Linked DNA regions of Macaca mulatta. The protein of the gene in region 1 interacts with the protein of each later gene in a pairwise test. Links are inferred from orthologs where the notes say so. Each region holds a gene or a part of one and is shown on either strand. Other genes may lie near its edges.

Evidence for each region.
Region 2: the proteins of AP4B1 (region 1) and ZNF576 interact in binary tests that used the Homo sapiens proteins (3 or more experiments, as listed by UniProt). The two-hybrid records come from large-scale screens. The link is inferred for Macaca mulatta from reciprocal best matches to the Homo sapiens genes AP4B1 and ZNF576.

The regions. Positions count from the first base shown.
Region 1 is NC_133406.1:126,344,742-126,351,974, forward strand, and holds the start of AP4B1 (AP-4 complex subunit beta-1), read left to right. Parts: upstream 1-1,281; 5' UTR 1,282-1,413; exon of another isoform or gene 1,414-1,705; intron 1,706-1,853; 5' UTR 1,854-1,929; coding exon 1,930-2,042; intron 2,043-3,783; coding exon 3,784-4,008; intron 4,009-4,774; coding exon 4,775-4,905; intron 4,906-5,278; coding exon 5,279-5,426; intron 5,427-6,565; coding exon 6,566-7,062; intron 7,063-7,233. Other genes in the region: DCLRE1B (5' exonuclease Apollo), read right to left, coding at 872-1,060.
Region 2 is NC_133424.1:56,008,853-56,019,286, forward strand, and holds ZNF576 (zinc finger protein 576), read left to right. Parts: upstream 1-4,594; 5' UTR 4,595-4,700; intron 4,701-4,731; exon of another isoform or gene 4,732-4,858; intron 4,859-5,200; exon of another isoform or gene 5,201-5,203; 5' UTR 5,204-5,215; coding exon 5,216-5,300; intron 5,301-6,943; coding exon 6,944-7,371; 3' UTR 7,372-8,525; downstream 8,526-10,434. Other genes in the region: IRGQ (immunity-related GTPase family Q protein), read right to left, coding at 147-1,488, 2,922-3,451. UniProt on the Homo sapiens protein: May be involved in transcriptional regulation.

The sequences.
Region 1 (7,233 bases):
AATAAAAAAAAAAGGTGGCGGGCACCTGTAGTACCAGGTACTCGGGAGGCTGAGGCAGGAGAATGGCGTGAACCCGGGAGGCGGAGCTTGCAGTGAACTGGAGTGCCCTCCAGCCTGGGCAACAGAGGGACACTCCGTCTGGGTGGGGTCGGGGGAGAGTTCAGCAAACAGTCTAGTCAGCAATTTTCAAACTTACTCCTGATCTTAATATCTTGGAGACTTAAGGGTGGGGTGGGGAGAGAGCTGGAGAACCACCCAGCACGTTAGGTGGATTCTTAAGATAAGGCATATTTAGGCGGGGCGTGGTGGCTCACGTTTGTAATCCCAGCACTTGGGGAGGCTGAGGCGGGCGGATCACTTAAGGTCAGGAGTTTGAGAACAGCCTGGCCAACATGGTGAAACCCCATCTCTACGAAAAATACAAAAAATTAGCTGGGCGTGGTGGCGTGCGCCTGTAATCTCAGCTACTCAGGAGGCTGAGACAGGAGAATCTCTTGAACCCGGGAGGCGGAGGTTATAGTGAGCCGAGATCGTGCCACCGCACTCCAGCCTGGCAGCAACAAGAGCGAGACTCCGTATCAGGAAAAAAAAAAAAAAAAAAGCAAGTTTGGGAAACATCAGCCTAGCTTATGTATAAAGGTAGTAATAGTTTCCTTGGCTGGACTAAAATATCTCCTCAACTTATAGCTAAATATCTCAAGTTGGTCACTTGGAAACCACGTTCCTATTCTGAGTTAAAGATGCATTTTTGGGTTCAAACAACTTCCGCATCAGTCTTGGTGGCCCCCATTCTATGACTCAAAGAATGACAGGTCGAAGTCCCAACCCAGATGCCTGGACCACCTCTTGGAGACTGACTCCAGCCCCATACCTGTAGGTGACGATGCAAGAGGTGGGCTGTAATCGGGGAGCAGTAGAGGGGCCGGGCCCAGGTGCTAGACAGGCCCACGGTGTGGTCCGAGTGCATGTGAGACAAGAAGAAGAGCCGTGCGGTGCCAGCCCGACGCAGGCTCCAGAAGTCCACTGCAATGGGCGTGTGGGGGATCAGGACCCCATTCATGGTGGCAGGGTTGTAGTCACCAGTGGGATCTTCTCCGCGGGGGCAGGGCTCCTGCGTGAGGCTTCCACAACGGCGCCCCGATAAAAGTCATGCTGGGGCAAGAACAGGGCCAGATACCCTAAGGGAAAGAGCCCAGCAGAGGAATAAGTCACTAGAGTGGGCAGAAAAAGGAAGTGACCGTGCCGGCGGGAGCCCAAATAGCGGAGGGCGCTCGACACTCCCAACCGCGCGGGAGCTGAGGCCAAGCCGGGCACTCAAAGCGCGCGCTGCTGGGAGGAGACAGGCCGAAGTAGCCGATTTCCGATTGCCCGCCGCAGCTCCACCAGAGGGAGCCGCGCGACTGCGCCTGGAGGGTGAGAGGTTGAGGGAAGGGCATCCTAAGGTCGGAGTCGGGACCAAGCTCAGCCCTCGCTCGCTGGGAGACCGGCAGCGCGCTTCTGTTTGGTCTCCTGACAAGGGGGCGGGACTTCCGCAGAAAGGAAGATTGGGCCTATCTGCGATGAGAACGGCTTGAAGGCGCAAGAAAAGCTGGAACTGGAGAGGGAGGGGTCTGCGGTCAGTCGGACGCGGCGCTGGAAATCCGGCGGAGGGCCTAGTGTTAGCGGGAGCGATCTGTGGGCGGGGCGAACGGCCTGCCGGGCGAGGGTAGGGCCTGAAGAGCCCAGGGTGGGGCTCGCGGGGTCGCGGAGGGCGTGGAAGTGTGTCAGGGCCAGCGTGCCGGCCCTACGGAAGCCGAGCCTGAGGCGAGATTTCGTCTTTAGTATTTTCACTGACTCATATTTCCTTTACTCAGGCTCCCACATCAAGACGAGAAGGAGCCCACGAGTTACCGTGGGAGCTGTGGGAGCTGCCCTGTGACTGTTAGGAAGATGCCGTACCTTGGCTCCGAGGACGTGGTGAAGGAGCTGAAGAAGGCTTTGTGTAATCCTCACATTCAAGCTGATAGGCTGCGCTACCGGAATGTCATCCAGCGAGTGATTAGGTATCACCTAACTCCCGTCGCGTGCTGTTTGCTCCCTTTGCAATCCCCATCAGGGCTCACTAGCCCCAGTCTCTCTGAAAGGGTAAATTAGCTTTCACACGTGGCAATTATATGGTTCGGTCTTCGTCCTGCTGCTTTGGAGTACCATCTCAGTCTCTCCTCTGCAGCATCTTTTACTTACCTGGGTAGTTTCCTCCATATCACAGGCTTGAACAATTACTGCTAACTCCTGGATCTATAATATAGCTAGTACAGACTTCTTTTTTTTAGCTTCAGACCCACGTATCCCACTGCCTGCTTGGCATTTCCACTTGCATGGTTTATCAAAAGTATGTCCGAAATAGCACGGACATTCTTCCGTCTTCCTCAAACCTGTTCTTCGGCTTACATTTGTGTTGATGAATGCCACCAGCAGCGACTATGCGTGGGAGCCAACCTTGAGGACACCCGATCCCCACTTCTCATGTCAGATGGTTTGAATTCATAATTCTAAATATCCACCCTCTCTTGTTTATTGGCGTTGTTGCTCTGGTCCAGGCCTTCATCACCAAAGCAATTGCAGCAGCTTACTAGTAGGCCACCTTGCCTCATTTGAGACAGAATTTTTCCATTATACAAATCTGAACATATAACTCTTGCCTACAGCTATGGTTCACAAACTTTACGGTGCACAAAAATCCCTGGGGGTGCTTTTTGTCATCCAGTCCAGGGATTGATTCTGATTTCAGTAAGGTAGGAGGGAACCCAGGAATCTGTATTTTTAATAAACATCTCAGCTGATTCCAGTAGGCGACCAGTTTGAGAAACAATGAAGTCCAAACTTACCACAGCACCCAAGGAACAAGCTGTTAATTCAACTACCTACAGACTCAAAAAAATGTATGCCACTCCTGCTCATGTCTACATACCTCATACCTTCTGTTACATCGATTACATCTGCCTAGTGAGCTCCTGCTCATTCCGGTAAAGTGTTACTTCCTCTGTGAAGAAACATTTTCTGACTTCCTGCCGGTGTTAGACCTCTGAATCCCCTCTGCGCCTTGTACAATACTTCTATTTAAATACTTATCAATCATACCATAATTAACGGTATTTTTATCTGGCTCATTAATAGATTTGAAGTTCCTAGAGGTCTGAGACCACGCCTTCTTCAAGATTATGTCCCAAGAGCATGTCCCTGGATGTAAAAGTTGAATTTCACCAAAGTACTAGGGATTCAATAAGTGTCTGTTGAGGCTGGGCACGGTGGCTCACGCCTGTAATCCCAGCACTTTGGGAGGCCAAGACGGGTGCATCACCTGCAGTCAGGAGTTCGAGACCAGCCTGGTCAACATGGCAAAACCCCGTCTCTACTAAAAATACAAAAATTTAGCCAAGCATGGTGGCACGCACCTGTGGTCCCAGCTACTCAGGAGGCTGAGGCAGGAGAATCACTTGAACCTGGGAGGCGGAAGTTGTAATGAGCCGAGATTGTGCCACTGCACTCTAGCCTGGGTAACAGAGCAAGACTCCATCTCAAAAATAATAATAAGTGTTTGTTGAATGAATAGAAGAAGAATGTTTATTGCAGGCCTATGGTATGAAGTACTGTGTGATATAATAGACAAGGTAATCCTGGCTGCTACCCTCTTAAGAGATCACAAGCTAGTTGGGTAACCAGGAGATATGTAAGTAAAACTCCCTCCATTGTTAGTTGGGGATTTTGCATTTTACTTCTTTCTGTCATGTGCGTTGGTTTCAGGTACATGACTCAGGGTTTGGACATGTCTGGTGTTTTTATGGAAATGGTGAAGGCCAGTGCCACTGTAGATATTGTCCAGAAGAAGTTGGTTTATCTGTACATGTGCACATATGCTCCCCTGAAACCAGATCTGGCTCTCCTGGCCATCAATACGCTGTGCAAAGACTGCTCAGACCCCAATCCAATGGTGCGAGGGCTGGCGTTACGGAGCATGTGTAGCCTCAGGTGAGTACCGTCTTCTCTGTCTGGTCCTAAATGGCTGATGACTTCAAGAGATCACGCAGTAGGTTTTTAAAGAGGATAATTTATTTGAGCTCCTTAATACTGGGGAAAACATTATTGTACCCTGAACTTAGATTTTCAGCCACTGCTTTGGCTTAATAACCTGTATCATATAATTTTATTACAGGGAGTTTTTGATTCTCACTCTAAGTAAAATAGTCCTCAATTTTGGTTAGATATTCCTAAACAATTATGTGTATATATTTTTTTGCTGCCTGTGCATCATTATTCCAAATGAAAAGTCAAATTAGGCTGGGCACAGTGGCTCATGCCTGTAGTCCCAGCACTTTGGGAGGCTGAGACAGGAAGACTGCTTGAGCTCAGGAATTCGAGACCAGCTGGGCAAGATGGTGAGACCCTGTATCTACAAAAAATTAAATGGGCATAGTGACACGCACCTGTAGTCTCAGCTACTAGCTAGCAAGGCTGAGGCAGGAGGATGGCTTGGGCCCAGGAATTAGAGGCAGCGGTGTCCTATGATTGGGCCACTGCACTGCAGCCTGGGTGACAAAGTGAGACCCCATCTTGAAAAAAACAAGAGAAAAACAAAAACATCAAATTATGGCTTTTTAAGCTTGATAGAGGCTTTCTGCAATTGTTCATGATCTGATGGGTGTAGCATCTACTAAACTCTGTTAGGTGAACAGGGTTTGATATATGTCAAAATTAGTATTTCCGAATCTGGCTGACTCCAGGATGTGTTGCTTAGGATGCCTGGTGTGCAGGAGTATATACAACAGCCTATTCTCAATGGTCTGCGGGATAAGGCTTCGTATGTCAGGAGAGTGGCAGTCCTTGGATGTGCCAAGATGCATAATCTTCATGGAGACTCTGAAGTAGGTAAGTTCAGTGTAATCCATCATGGTCAATGTGCCTCTATTATGTATAACTTTATAAAAGATTATGTAGCTTTGGTAGAAAATAATAATGTGGCCCCAGTTCTGTACATATCTCTTTAAGTAGGATGCAGGGCTTGGTATCTTCTGGAGATGAGAAGTCCTTTCTCTCGGGCCCCAGTGAGATCCTTTGTATTAGCTGCTTAAAACAGTCTAGACATGGCAGTTTTTTTTTTTTGCCTTGCACTTTAGTATGGCCTTTGTCATTTTTGTAGCAGAGAAGTTCAACTTTGTCTACTTGGAGCTATTACTCTGGCTACATCCCTGTTACTCTGAAGCTTTTCTTTTTTATCTAAGAACTTTGTTCTTTTTTATAGATGGTGCCCTGGTAAATGAATTATACAGTTTGCTGCGTGACCAGGATCCAATTGTAGTTGTGAACTGCTTGAGGTCTCTAGAGGAAATTCTGAAACTGGAAGGAGGCGTTGTCATCAATAAGCCCATTGCTCACCATCTCTTAAATCGGTTTGGATGCCTCAGTGCTCTTTTTATTATGAGATCTGCGTCCTTGTGGGATCTTGTTGATGTATTGAACAACTTATGTGAAGTAGAAAAGAAAGTTAACCATTATTATTATTATTTGAGACAGAGTGTTGCTCTTGTTGTCCAAGCCAGAGTGCAACGGCACTATCTTGGCTTAGCGCAACCTCCGCCTCCTGGCTTTAAGCAGTTCTCCTGCTTCAGCCTCCTGAGTAGCTGGGATTATAGGCATGCACCACCATGCCCGGCTAATTTTGTATTTTTAGCGGAGACAGGGTTTCTCCCTGTTGGTCAGGCTAGTCCCAAACTTCCGACCTCAGGAGATCTGCCCACCTTGGCCTCCGAAAGTGCTGGGATTACAGGCGTGAGCCACCGTGCCCAGCCAGTTAACCACTATTAACTCCCTCACATTTCACTAAGAGAATTTCTTTTATTTGCCTTAGTTTCCCTTATTGATATAGGGAAATAGAAATATACTGTGGGAATAGGTTCTGCCCTTCTCTAGTCATTATGTCCCCCAAAGTAAGCCATTTATAGTGTCTTAAAATGTAGGGAACCTGGACCCAGTGTATGCTGATCATGTCTTTGGTCTTAGGTGAGTGTGCATTTGTATTAACAGCTCATCTTGGAATTTTAAGCCTTTTTTGTGTAAACTTTTTTTTTTTTTTTTTTTTTTTGAGACAGAGTCTTGCTCTGTCGCCCAGGCTGGGGTGCAGTGGCCGGATCTCAGCTCACTGCAAGCTCCGCCTCCCGGGTTTAGACCATTCTCCTGCCTCAGCCTCCCGAGTAGCTGGGACTACAGGCGCCCGCCACCTCGCCTGGCTAGTTTTTTGTATTTTTTAGTAGAGACGGGGTTTCACCGTGTTAGCCAGGATGGTCTCGATCTCCTGACCTCGTGATCCGCCCGTCTCGGCCTCCCAAAGTGCTGGGATTACAGGCTTGAGCCACCGCGCCCGGCATAAACTTTAAATAGTACATGAAAAGAATGATTTAATTATGGCACAGCCTATTTTTAAGAATTCTCCCTTTGTTATGATGAACAACCAACTGGTCATATGACAGTGGCATGGAAATGGCCCTAATTTTGTTGCTAAAATAGCTCTTTTGTTTTCTTTTTTGGATAGAATGTCAAAACTGGACCAATGGGGCCAGGCTGAGGTATTGAACTTTCTGCTACGCTACCAACCCCGCAGTGAGGAAGAACTATTTGACATTCTCAATCTGTTGGATAGTTTTCTCAAGAGCAGTAGCCCAGGTGTGGTGATGGGAGCTACCAAACTTTTTCTGATCTTGGCAAAAAAGTTTCCCCATGTACAAACAGATGTGCTTGTGCGGGTCAAGGGACCTTTGCTAGCTGCCTGTTCTTCGGAGAGCCGTGAGCTCTGTTTTGTTGCTCTTTGTCATGTACGCCAGATCTTGCATAGTTTGCCAGGTCACTTTAGCAGCCACTACAAAAAGTTTTTTTGCTCCTACTCGGAGCCCCACTACATCAAACTACAGAAAGTGGAGGTGCTGTGTGAGCTGGTGAACGATGAGAATGTGCAGCAGGTGCTAGAGGAGCTTCGAGGGTACTGCACGGATGTGTCTGCGGACTTTGCACAGGCTGCCATCTTTGCCATAGGTAGGTGTCTGCTGCTTTTCCTTCTTGAGAGACCAGCCAGCGAGAAAGCTGTGGTTAAGAGGAACCATAGAGAGCAAAGGGCATGAATCTTGCTTCAGAAGCGAAGTACTATGCACTAAATAATTGGGTCAGTGACTACAAACAAGGGGGAAGAGACTTGTTTTTTTTTTC
Region 2 (10,434 bases), on another chromosome or scaffold:
TTCCTGTCCCCCAGACTCTCTGAATCCAGGTGATGAGAAGTCACACATCCCTGCTAGAAATCAGAGTCCACATCCCTTTCAAGCACCCAGGATTAAGCCCAGGCATCCCCTGCCACAGTCTGGACCCTCAAGCCCCCTCCCACCTCTCACTGGGCAGACTCAGGGGGTGCCAGTACAGCCTCAGCATCAGCCCGCATCTCATCCAGAGCCTGCAGCAGTACGCCGTGAGCCGCTCGGTAGCCCAGGCCACCTGTCGCCGCTGCGCCACCCGCAGGCCACAGGAAGGAGAGAGCACCCAGTGCTGCGCCCCCAGCAGTGCCCTCGCCCGCCCAGGCGCCCAGCCTTGCTTCGACCTCGGCGCGCGTCACCGGGCCTGGGAAATGAGCGCGCGCTGCCAGCTCCCCAGGAGCCAGGCCCAGGGCACGCTCACGTCGAGCCAGTGCCGCGGGTTCCAGTCCCAGGCCCCGTCGCCACTCCGCCAGCTGACCCCGCAGAAGTGCCACGTCGCATGCCCAGCCCAGCCCTGGGAGTGGTGCCGCCGCCGCTGCCAGACTAGCCAGCAGAGCTGGCCTCCACGCCCCGGCCCGCAACGCCGCAGCCTTGGTTCGGGCAGCGCTGGGAGATGCTGGTGGCAGTGCCAGCAGCAGCGCCCCTGCCTGGGCTGGGGGGAGCGCTTGCCGCAGCCATTCGCATAGCCCTGGGAGTCCACCAGGCCGTAGGGGGAACACTGGCGGCGGTGCCTCCTCCAACACCTCCCACGTCTCGTCCTCCGGGCTTAACACGGCGGCCCGCTCTGAGTCGCCACCACCTGATTTCTTCATGCCGACAACCTGCTGCAAACCCTCGCTGCCAGCTTTCTCAGGACCTTCCCCGCTGCCTGCTTTCTGCGATCCAGCGCTACATTTCTCCCTTCCCTTACTGAGTGCATTCTCCAATCCCCCTCCGCCTGCGTTCTTTAAGCTCTCGCCGTTGGGTTTCTCCATCTTTCCTTCTCCCAAATACTCCGGATCCTCGCCCTCGCCGTCTGTGCGCACGCAGACAAGAGGCGCATCTGGTAGCACCAAGGCCTGGACCTGGGCCCAGTCCTTCTCAGTGGGGGCCCCAGGGGTGACGAGGATGAGGGCGTCGTAGTGCGTTGGGTGAGAGGCTGCGGCCGCGGTGGTGGCAGTGCCCGTGGGACCCAGAGGCACAGTCCAGAGCACCACATTCGGGCGCTCTGGGGCCGGGAAGGGAGTGGGCCCCGTGGGCGCCGAAGCAGGCGCAGCACCTGGGTCGCCAGGATCCAATCCAAGCAGCATGTCCACCACAAGGCCCACGTCAGCCTTGCCGGCCACGGCCAAGTCTAGCCGTGCGCTGCCCAGGCGCTCCAGGCCTGAGCGCACCCACGACAGCGCAGCCTCCAGGCCGCCGGTCTCAAAGGCCTCACGCACAGCCTCCAGCTCTGCTGCACCCAGCACCTCGAAGCCATCCTGGGCCGGGGGCAGGAGCCTGTGGGGACAAGAAGGGTCAGGGTCAAAGGCAGAAGAGGGGCTGGGTGACATGGACTGGGCTATGAATGACAAGGGCGGAGCTTTCCTAATGATCCCAGAATGGGGCAGGGATAGGAAAGGGAAAGGCCAGACTGACGGCAAGGCAAACAGAAACCAGATGGGGAGGGGCCATGATGATATGGGCGGGGCTTCAAGCAATAATGGAGTCTTGATTATTGAACAGGTGGACTTAAGGGCAGGTTTCCCACTCTAGCCTAAAATGGGGATTGGGCTAAGACTTCCATGGAATACAGTATTTGGGGGCGGGGCTTTTCCAAGGGTCGGCTGTGCTGGGTGGGACAAAACTCAGAGAAGGTGGGGCCTAGAACAAAGAATCGCAACTGTATTGTGGCCTAAACACAAGTCCAGCACTATTTGAGACAGACAAGGTCGCCAAGGCACTCTTTTCAGAGGCTGGGCCTAAGGAGGGTCAGTGAGGGGAGAAATTTCATCTACTAGTTCTTACCAAGGGGGAGTGGCTAAGGTGACTCCCCACCAGGTGAGGCTAAGGAAAAAAGATGATAGTGTACTAGGACAAGGGACTGTCCCTCTCTGAGCCTCATTTTAAAGTCTGTAAAATGAGGAGGCTGGCAGGTGGTAGAGCAAATTCAGGAGGTAGCCAGCAAGTGGGCACAGAAACGAGAGGGAGCTGGAGAAAGGAGGTGGATGAGGATGCCCCAAGATCCTCATTGCTGGTGTGGCTTTAGGTCACTTGAAAACCAAACTGATGGTGGGGAGGGCTCAAGGATTAGAGTTTTCAGGTAAAATCTTCCAGGGGGCTGGGCAAAGTGCCTCACGCCTATAATCCCAGCACTTTGGGAGGCCAGGGAGGGCGGATCACCTTGCTTGGGGCAGGGCCTAGAAAAAGGAGCCTCAGGGCCCCAGCAGATAAAGTGTTAAGATTTTCCCTTTTAATCCTAGGGCTTTGGGAAGCCTGGGTGGGGGCATGGCTTGAGGCCAAGAATTTAAGACCAGCCTGGGGAAACAGTGAGATCCTGTTTTGCAGCCTGTCCTATTAGCTACTCTGGAGGCTGAGGCAGGAGGATCATTTGAGTCCAGGAGGTGGAGGCCCTCAGTGAGCTAGGATAGCAGCACTGCACTCCAGCCTGGGCGATAGAGTGAGACCCTGTCTCAAAAAAAAAAAAAGGCCGGGTGTGGTGGTTCACGCCTGTAATCCTAGCACTTTGGGAAGCTGAGGCGGGATTATTGCTTAAGGCCAGGAGTTCAAATTCAACCTAGTCAACGTAGCGAGACCCTGTCCCTTGGGAAAAAAATAATAATAATAGAGCTAAGCTTTTGCCCCAAACTCACTGGGGAAGGGATCTCATGGATCTCAAATAGGACCTAGGTGTGCAGGGTCTCAACTAAGGGACCAAGCCAGAAAGCACTCACCTCCGCAGCGCTTCTGCCTGGCTCTGCAGCGCCGCCCGGAGGCGCTCTAGCTCCTCGCAGCCGTCGCTGCTGCCGCAGTTCGCCGGTAGCACAAACAGATCCGCAGCTCCCAACCCCGCGCTGTTCAGCAGAGCTGCTGTCTGATCACGGGCCTGGGCCGCAGTCTGTGAATCCCCAGGACGGAGGTTCCGCACAGCCAGTAGCGGGGTCCCTCGGGCCAGGGCGGCCCGCGCTGCCTCTCCCAGGGCTGCAGCCAAGGGTTCCCCGTTCCCCTCGGGTCCGGGCAGCACCAGTACCAGCACGTTGGCTTCAGCCGCCCAGGGCCCCGGCGTTGCAGGTGGGCAGCTCAGCTCGCCCAGAAAAAGGCCTGGGCCCGCAGCTCTTAGGCTGGGAACCCCGGAGTCCGGCCGTCCCTCGGGGGCCTCGAGCGTCTCCACATCCTTGTCGCACAGCGCCGCGATCAGCGCGGACTTCCCCAAGCCAGGAGGCCCCAGGAACAAGGCGGTCACGTCACCCTGCGGCGGAGGCATGGCTGGAAAGCAACGGGTGGAGAAGACCTGGGTCAGGGAGCACCTAGCCTTTTCCTTTCCTAGCCGCCCCACTCGGAACAAAGGCCTCAGTCCTCCCCCCGGTCCCCTTCGGTTCTTGAGTGTCTCTCTCCAGGACCTAAAAAATCCAGAGCCCAGACCCTATTCCCCAGGGATTCCAGGCGCCCTGTCTGTCCGCCCTCTTTCTAGATGGAAACGTTTCCCTTTCTGCTTCAAAAACTCTGAAATCAGGCGCGGTGGCTCATGCCTGTAATCCCAGTGCTTTGGGAGGCCGAGGCGGGAGGATCGCTTGAGGCCAGGAATTCGAGACCAGCCTGGCCAACATGTGGGACTCTCTGGTAGAGTCTCCGTCTCCACAAAAAATAAAATTTAGCCGGGCCATGGTGGCGTGCGCCGGTAGCCCCAGCTACCCGGAAGGCTGCGGCGGTAGGATCGCTTGAGCCCAGGAGTTGCAGGCTGCAGTGGGCAGTGATCACACCACCGCACTCCAGCCCAGGCGACAGAGCAAGACACTCTCTCAAAAATAAATAAATAAAAATAAAACCTCAGAAATCTGGCTTCCAGTCCCTCCTCCCTCGGACGCATTGTTATTTTTATCCTTCCCCTTCCCCCTTCCACATCACAAACCGAGCAAAAAGCAGACCCACGGGATGAGCGCAGTCGGTGGCGGTGGGTCAGCAACTGAGAAGCCCGACCCCTCGGCCGCAGCGGACGGAGGCCGAAGAGGCCAGGGCGCGGTGATTTAAAGATGCCGGGACGCGTCCCAGTAGCTTTAACCTGACGTCACTCCCTCTTCCAAGGGGGTGTGTCTTGGAAGCGCTACCGCAGAGACCTAGCCCTTCGCAGCGCCTGCGCAGAACGGCCGAAGTGCTCACGCCCCTGTTCGGCGGCCTCGGGGCCTCGAACAATGAAGGAGTCAACGCGCCTGCGCACCACGAGCACCTACCCAGACTTGCGCAAAAAGCTTCGGTACCTACGCCGCGGGAGGGTGAACGTCATCATAACGCACCATAGTGCAGAGAAGGACCCCTCCCGTTATTTTGAGGACCGGACTGGTGCGACTATACTACTGCCGGATGCCAAATCCGGGATCTCGGCTCCGAGAGGCTCATCTGGCAAAAGGGCGCGGAAACCACGGGGGCCCTGAGACTGAGTGGGCTATCCCACTTCTCTCTGGGTGGCGGGGCTGTAGCTAGCGACTGACAGGCGCAGCGAAAGGCAGCCCTCTGCTGTACGGAGGAAAACTGAGGCCTGGGAGCAGGAACCTGTAGGCAGCGCTTGAGGGTAGCGGGATAGCAGCTGCTAGTGCGCGTGGGAGGCGGGGGCTCTGGGCGGAACAAAAATCACAGGATGTCAGAGGATGTTTCCCGGGAAGAACTGGAATAAAGGGTGGGTATCACTACCTGCCCCAAGATACTTGAGACTGGGATGACGCTGGTGTCAAAGATCAAGACTCCCACGCTGAGTTCAGGGAGTTAGTTTGATGCAGCAGGTCATAGGTCACACCAGTGAAAAGACTCTTGAGTCCCAAACCCAGGAAGTCTTTTGGGAGGTTTGAAGCTTCTCTTAGCAAGAACTCCATCAATTAGAGTTCAAGGAGATAGTATGTCGTAAGGGTCAAAAGCAGGCAAGGAGAGCCTATGGCGATGTCAAAGGTCATAGACTTAGGGTGCCCTCTAAGACTGGTAACAGATGAACAGCTTCACTCATGCACGCTCCTCTCCTGACTAGAAGGGTCCCAGCACCATGGAGGACCCGAACTCTGAAGAGAACATGAAGCAGCAGGATTCACCCAAGGAGAGAAGTCCCCAGAGCCCAGGAGGCAACATCTGTGAGTACACATGGCTGGCTGGCTAGAGGAGGGCGGGGTGCAGGAGCTGATGCTAAGAAGATCTCTGTGGCACTTCAGTGTCCAAGGCGCCACAGAGTTTTGCCTGTTGAGAAGGGGCTGTAATGGTCCCTGAGCTGCCCTAGCAGGAAGTGCATCTCCTCACACCGGCTTATGTGGCCAGAGTACTCACCCTCCTCTGGCCACATAAGCAGGATTGCAACGCTTATGCATTCAGAGGGATAGGGTGGCTTCCAAGAGAGGCTTGGGTTGGAGACGTGGCTGGGAATGGTTCTATTGGGAGAAAAGCCCCAAGATTCTGGTCCCACCTGTGTCCTAGACTTTCAGTGTAACTTGAGCCTTGGTTTCCCTGACTGTCAAAAGAGGGTGGCACTATCCACCTCACAGGGTGGTTATGGGATTAACTGCAGCAAAGGGGAAAGCCAGGGGTTAATGATGGTAGCCAGTTTGCCATGTAATAGCAACACCTCCTGCTGTTTTATTATGAGCTAGGTGTACTTATTCTCATATTATGAACGATTTTAACATTCATTATCTCATTCAGTCCTTCTAATAATAGGCCCTTTAAACTGGGAACTGAGGCAGAGAGAGGTATTTGTAACAAGAGCTGTAGTCTCAATGCCCTTGAGCCTGAGATTACCGGAAACACACGTGCAGTTGAACACGTTGGGTTTATTTCTCGCTGCAATGAAGAACACACACCATGGGGGAACTGTGGGGTGTCTCACTAAGAGTGGTAAAAACGACATAGGATTTGGGCTTGTGGGTGGTGATTTTGGGGAATGTGCGAGCAAAATTGTTTTGCTGTGGATTGGATGCTACCAGGAAGCAGGGGCAATTCTATGATTGGCTATCGTAATAAATCTTATCCAGAAGGAGGAAGGAAGAAGGCAAGGCTCAAGCTCTGACTGATAAAGTAGCAGCAGACATTCACATGAGCCAGGATAGGAGGATGTTTGGTCATTTTTCTGCTTGGACAGCATTCATATTTTGTCTGTGCTCAGACATTATTATGATATAGTCTTGTCTTGATTCATTCTAGTCACAGCATGACCTTGTCTGTCCTTGATATTTTGTGAAAATTTATGTTCAACAGAACACCAAGGTCTAGCTGTGAGTACCAGGCCATATCCTGGATGTCGGGCTGGATTTCTCTGTTATCATTAGTCATAATTGCAAATGACTGTACAGCAATTCATTTATTCCTTCCAACAGTCCTATGGAGTAGATACTGTTATTAGCCCATTTTCCAGATAAGGAAACTGGTGTAATTGCCTAGGAAGTGGTGGAGCTGAGATTCAATCCCAGGCAGTCTGGCTCCAAAGGCTGTGCTGTAATCACCATACCCCTCTGTTGGGCAGGCTGACTCTCTGGGTTCCAACCCTGACTCCACCATTTCCTTTCCTAGCCTCATTGACTATGGGCAACTTGCCTAATCTCTTTGAATCTCAGTTTGCTCATCCATAAAATAGGTCCAAGAACAGTTCTCCTGTTTGGTTGTCCAGCATTAGCATAGAACCGAGCACATAGCACACTCAATGTTAATTGTTGGTATGATTCTGGGGTTCAGGAGAGGTCCTGGAGACTCCTGCCGGCCTCCCCTGACCTCTCCGCACATCTCTCAGGCCACCTGGGGGCCCCGAAGTGCACCCGCTGCCTCATCACCTTCGCAGATTCCAAGTTCCAGGAGCGTCACATGAAGCGGGAGCACCCAGCGGACTTCGTGGCCCAGAAGCTGCAGGGGGTCCTCTTCATCTGCTTCACCTGCGCCCGCTCCTTCCCCTCCTCCAAAGCCTTAATCACCCACCAGCGCAGCCACGGTCCAGCCGCCAAGCCCACCCCACTGGTTGCAACCACTACTGCCCAGCCCACCTTCCCTTGTCCTGACTGTGGCAAGACCTTTGGGCAGGCTGCTTCTCTGAGGCGGCACCGCCAGATGCATGAGGCCCGTGCCCCTCCTGGCACCTTCGCCTGTACAGAGTGCGGTCAGGACTTTGCTCAGGAAGCAGGGCTGCATCAACACTACATTCGGCATGCCCGAGGGGAGCTCTGAGTGCAGCTTAAGCGTCTCCGTGGTGACAGGTGGCTCTGTGGCCAGTAGGACTCACCCATGATACGGGGTGCAGGAATTCCGGGGGCCCTGAGGGATTTGCTTCCCTCCCCTGGGAAGGCAGAGGGCTCCTAATAAAGAGGACCCAGAAGATTCTCATTTAGAGCTTCAGTCTTTGGAGGACACAGGGCCTTCGTGAGACAGTGAAATCAGACAATAACGAGATCTTTCGTTAAAAAAAAAAATGGGAATGGAGTGCGGGAGAGAAATGGTTTGTGTCTCCCTTATTCCCAGTTAAACACCTAGCTGCAGACTGTGTCATCACCCTTCATTCTTCCCAGATGGATGCCATGGGCAATGGAAGCAAAATGCCCCGGACCTTTGCCTGAATGGGGGCAGGGAAGGTGAGGTGTTGCTGGCCTGTAATGCCACCAGATGAGTTCCAGATGTGGAGCAACTTGGGCTTTTGGGGATGGGGCAGCACAGTTGGGAGCTGGACCCCAATTGAGTGGGGTGGCAATTGGAGTCCTTGTGTCTCTTTCCCACCCCCTGCCAACCTCACTCAGAGGGGCCATGGCACTAGATGGCACTAGTCCCCCGATAATTTATGTCTCATTTAAATAATTTTGTATATCATTCTGGTCATGAAATATTTTTTCATATGTGTAGGTGAAATGGTATGAATAAGCTAACAGGAATAGTATCTAAAAACAGAAAACATCCATATTAAAATGTCTAAACAGGGAGCTCTGGCTTTTGAGTGGGAATTTCCAGAGAACATAAGGGTGTGGGCAGGTGGGGGAACTCAGGCCAGAGTTGGCCTTGCTTTGTGGGGAAACTGGTTTGGAATCAAACAGAGATACCTTCTGTTTCGGATTTTATTTGGCCAACACTGGGAGATTTCCCATTAAGATCCTATTTTCAGCTCTCTTGAAAGGCCCAACCTAGGGTGACATTGTCAGCAGGGGCAGGGCAGAAGCTACAACAGGCTGGAGGGGAACAGTGGGTGTCATCCTCAACTGGAGATGAGTCCCATCAGGCCAGTTTTACCCCCTTAGTTACCTGCCCTGCACTTGCAGACAATGGTCAATGCCCTGCATATAATACTTATAGACTCTGTTTATGTTGAGGGATGTTTTTAAAGCCCAGGTGAGGTGGATGTGGTAGACTGATCACTGTCTCTCAGTTTTTAGCTAGGCACATGGTAGCTGAAAAGACTACATTTCCCAGATTCCTTCGCAGCTAGATGTAGCCATGTGACTGATTCTGGCTAAATTCCTGGGTAGAACACTCAAGCTTAAGAAAGGGACGGCGGGGCACAGTGGCTTACACCTGTAATCCCAGCACTCTGTGAGGCTGAGGCTGGTGGATCACCTGAGGTCAGGAGTTTGAGACTAGCCTGGCCAACATGGTGAAACCCCATCTCTACTAAAAATACAAAAATTAGTCAGGTGTGGTGGCATACACCTGTAACCCCAGCTACTTGGGAGGCTGAGGCAGGAGAATTGCTTGAATTTGGGAGACAGGCTGCAGTGAGTCAAGATCATGCCACTGCACTTCAGCCTGGGTGACAGAGTGAGACTCTTTTTTAAAAAAAAGAAAAGAAAGGGACATACCTTTTTTCCACCTTCCTAACTGTAATACAGACATAGTATCCAGCCATCTCAGACCATAAGGACAAGAACGACACATGGGATGGCAGAGCAACAAGACAGCAGGAGCCTGGGTCTCTGGTCAATTTCAGGGAGCACAGCCACCATACCAGCCCACTTCCATATTGCTATCTAAGAAAGAAAGAAACTTCTAATTTAAGCCATCATTATTCTGGGTTTCTGTCACGTGCAACAGAATTTACAGCCTAAGACAGGGGTCTGCAAACTATGGCCAACTCTAGCCTGCTGCCTGATTTTGCAAATAAAATTTTATTTGAACACAGTTTTATACTCATTCACTTATGTATTGTTGATGGCTACTTTTGCCTAGAACAGCAGATCTGCATAGTTGCATCAGAGATCTTATGGTTTCCAAAACTTAAAATAGTTACCATCTAGCCCTTTGCAGGAGAAGTTTGCCAACCCCTGGTCTAATAAGACATTCAACCTACTCTGAGTCTGGAAGCAGAAATTTCGATCCTGGGAACCACTACCTTTACCAAGTAGGTAGGTAGGGTGTGTGTGTGTGTTTTGGGACAGGGCTACCCTGGATCTCTTTGCTGGGGTGACTTATAGGGAGACTGGTTGGAGTTAGTAGACCATCAGTTTTTTTCAAGATACCAACTTCATGAAGAGCCAGATATTTCCTCTGGCTCCTGGTGAACGCTCAGAAGTTTCCAACCCGGATATTTTCACACTACCCCCACAGTGGCTCCCCTAAACCCAAACCTAAGGATCTAATCCCACATGCTCTCCCAAGATAGCAGCCTGCCCAAGTACACTCTGGGCTTCCTGTTCTCTCCAGACGTCACAGATTCTCTAAATAGCATCACTGATGACTTCCACATTTTTATCTGCAGCCCAAACCCCAGACATAAGATACAACCATTTGAATAAACAAATGGAGATCTCAAACTTAAAATAGGTCAACATGACTCCTGTGGCCCGACCTGCACCACTGCCATCATGTTAGTAAAAAACTGTGCACTCTTTTAAATTCTTTTGAGTCTTGCTCTGTCTCCCAGGCTGGAGTGCAGTGGCGTGATCTCGGCTCACTGAAGCCTCCGCCTCCTGGGTTCAGGCAATTTTCCAGCCCCAGCCTCCCGAGTAGCTGGGATTACAGGTGTGCACCACTACAACTGGCTAATTTTTGTATTTTTAATAGAGACGAGGTTTCACTATGTTGCTCAGGCTGATCTCAGACTCCTGGCCTCCAGTGATCCGCCCACCTGGGCCTCCCAAAGTGCTGGGATTATAGGTGTGAGCCACTGCACCTGGCCTTCATTTTTTTTGAGACAGGGTCTCACTGTGTAGCTCAGGATAGAGTGCAGTTGCAAAATCTCGGCTCACTGCAGCCTTGACCTCCTCGGGCTCAGATGATCCTCCCACCTCCGCCTCCCTCCCTATAGCTGAG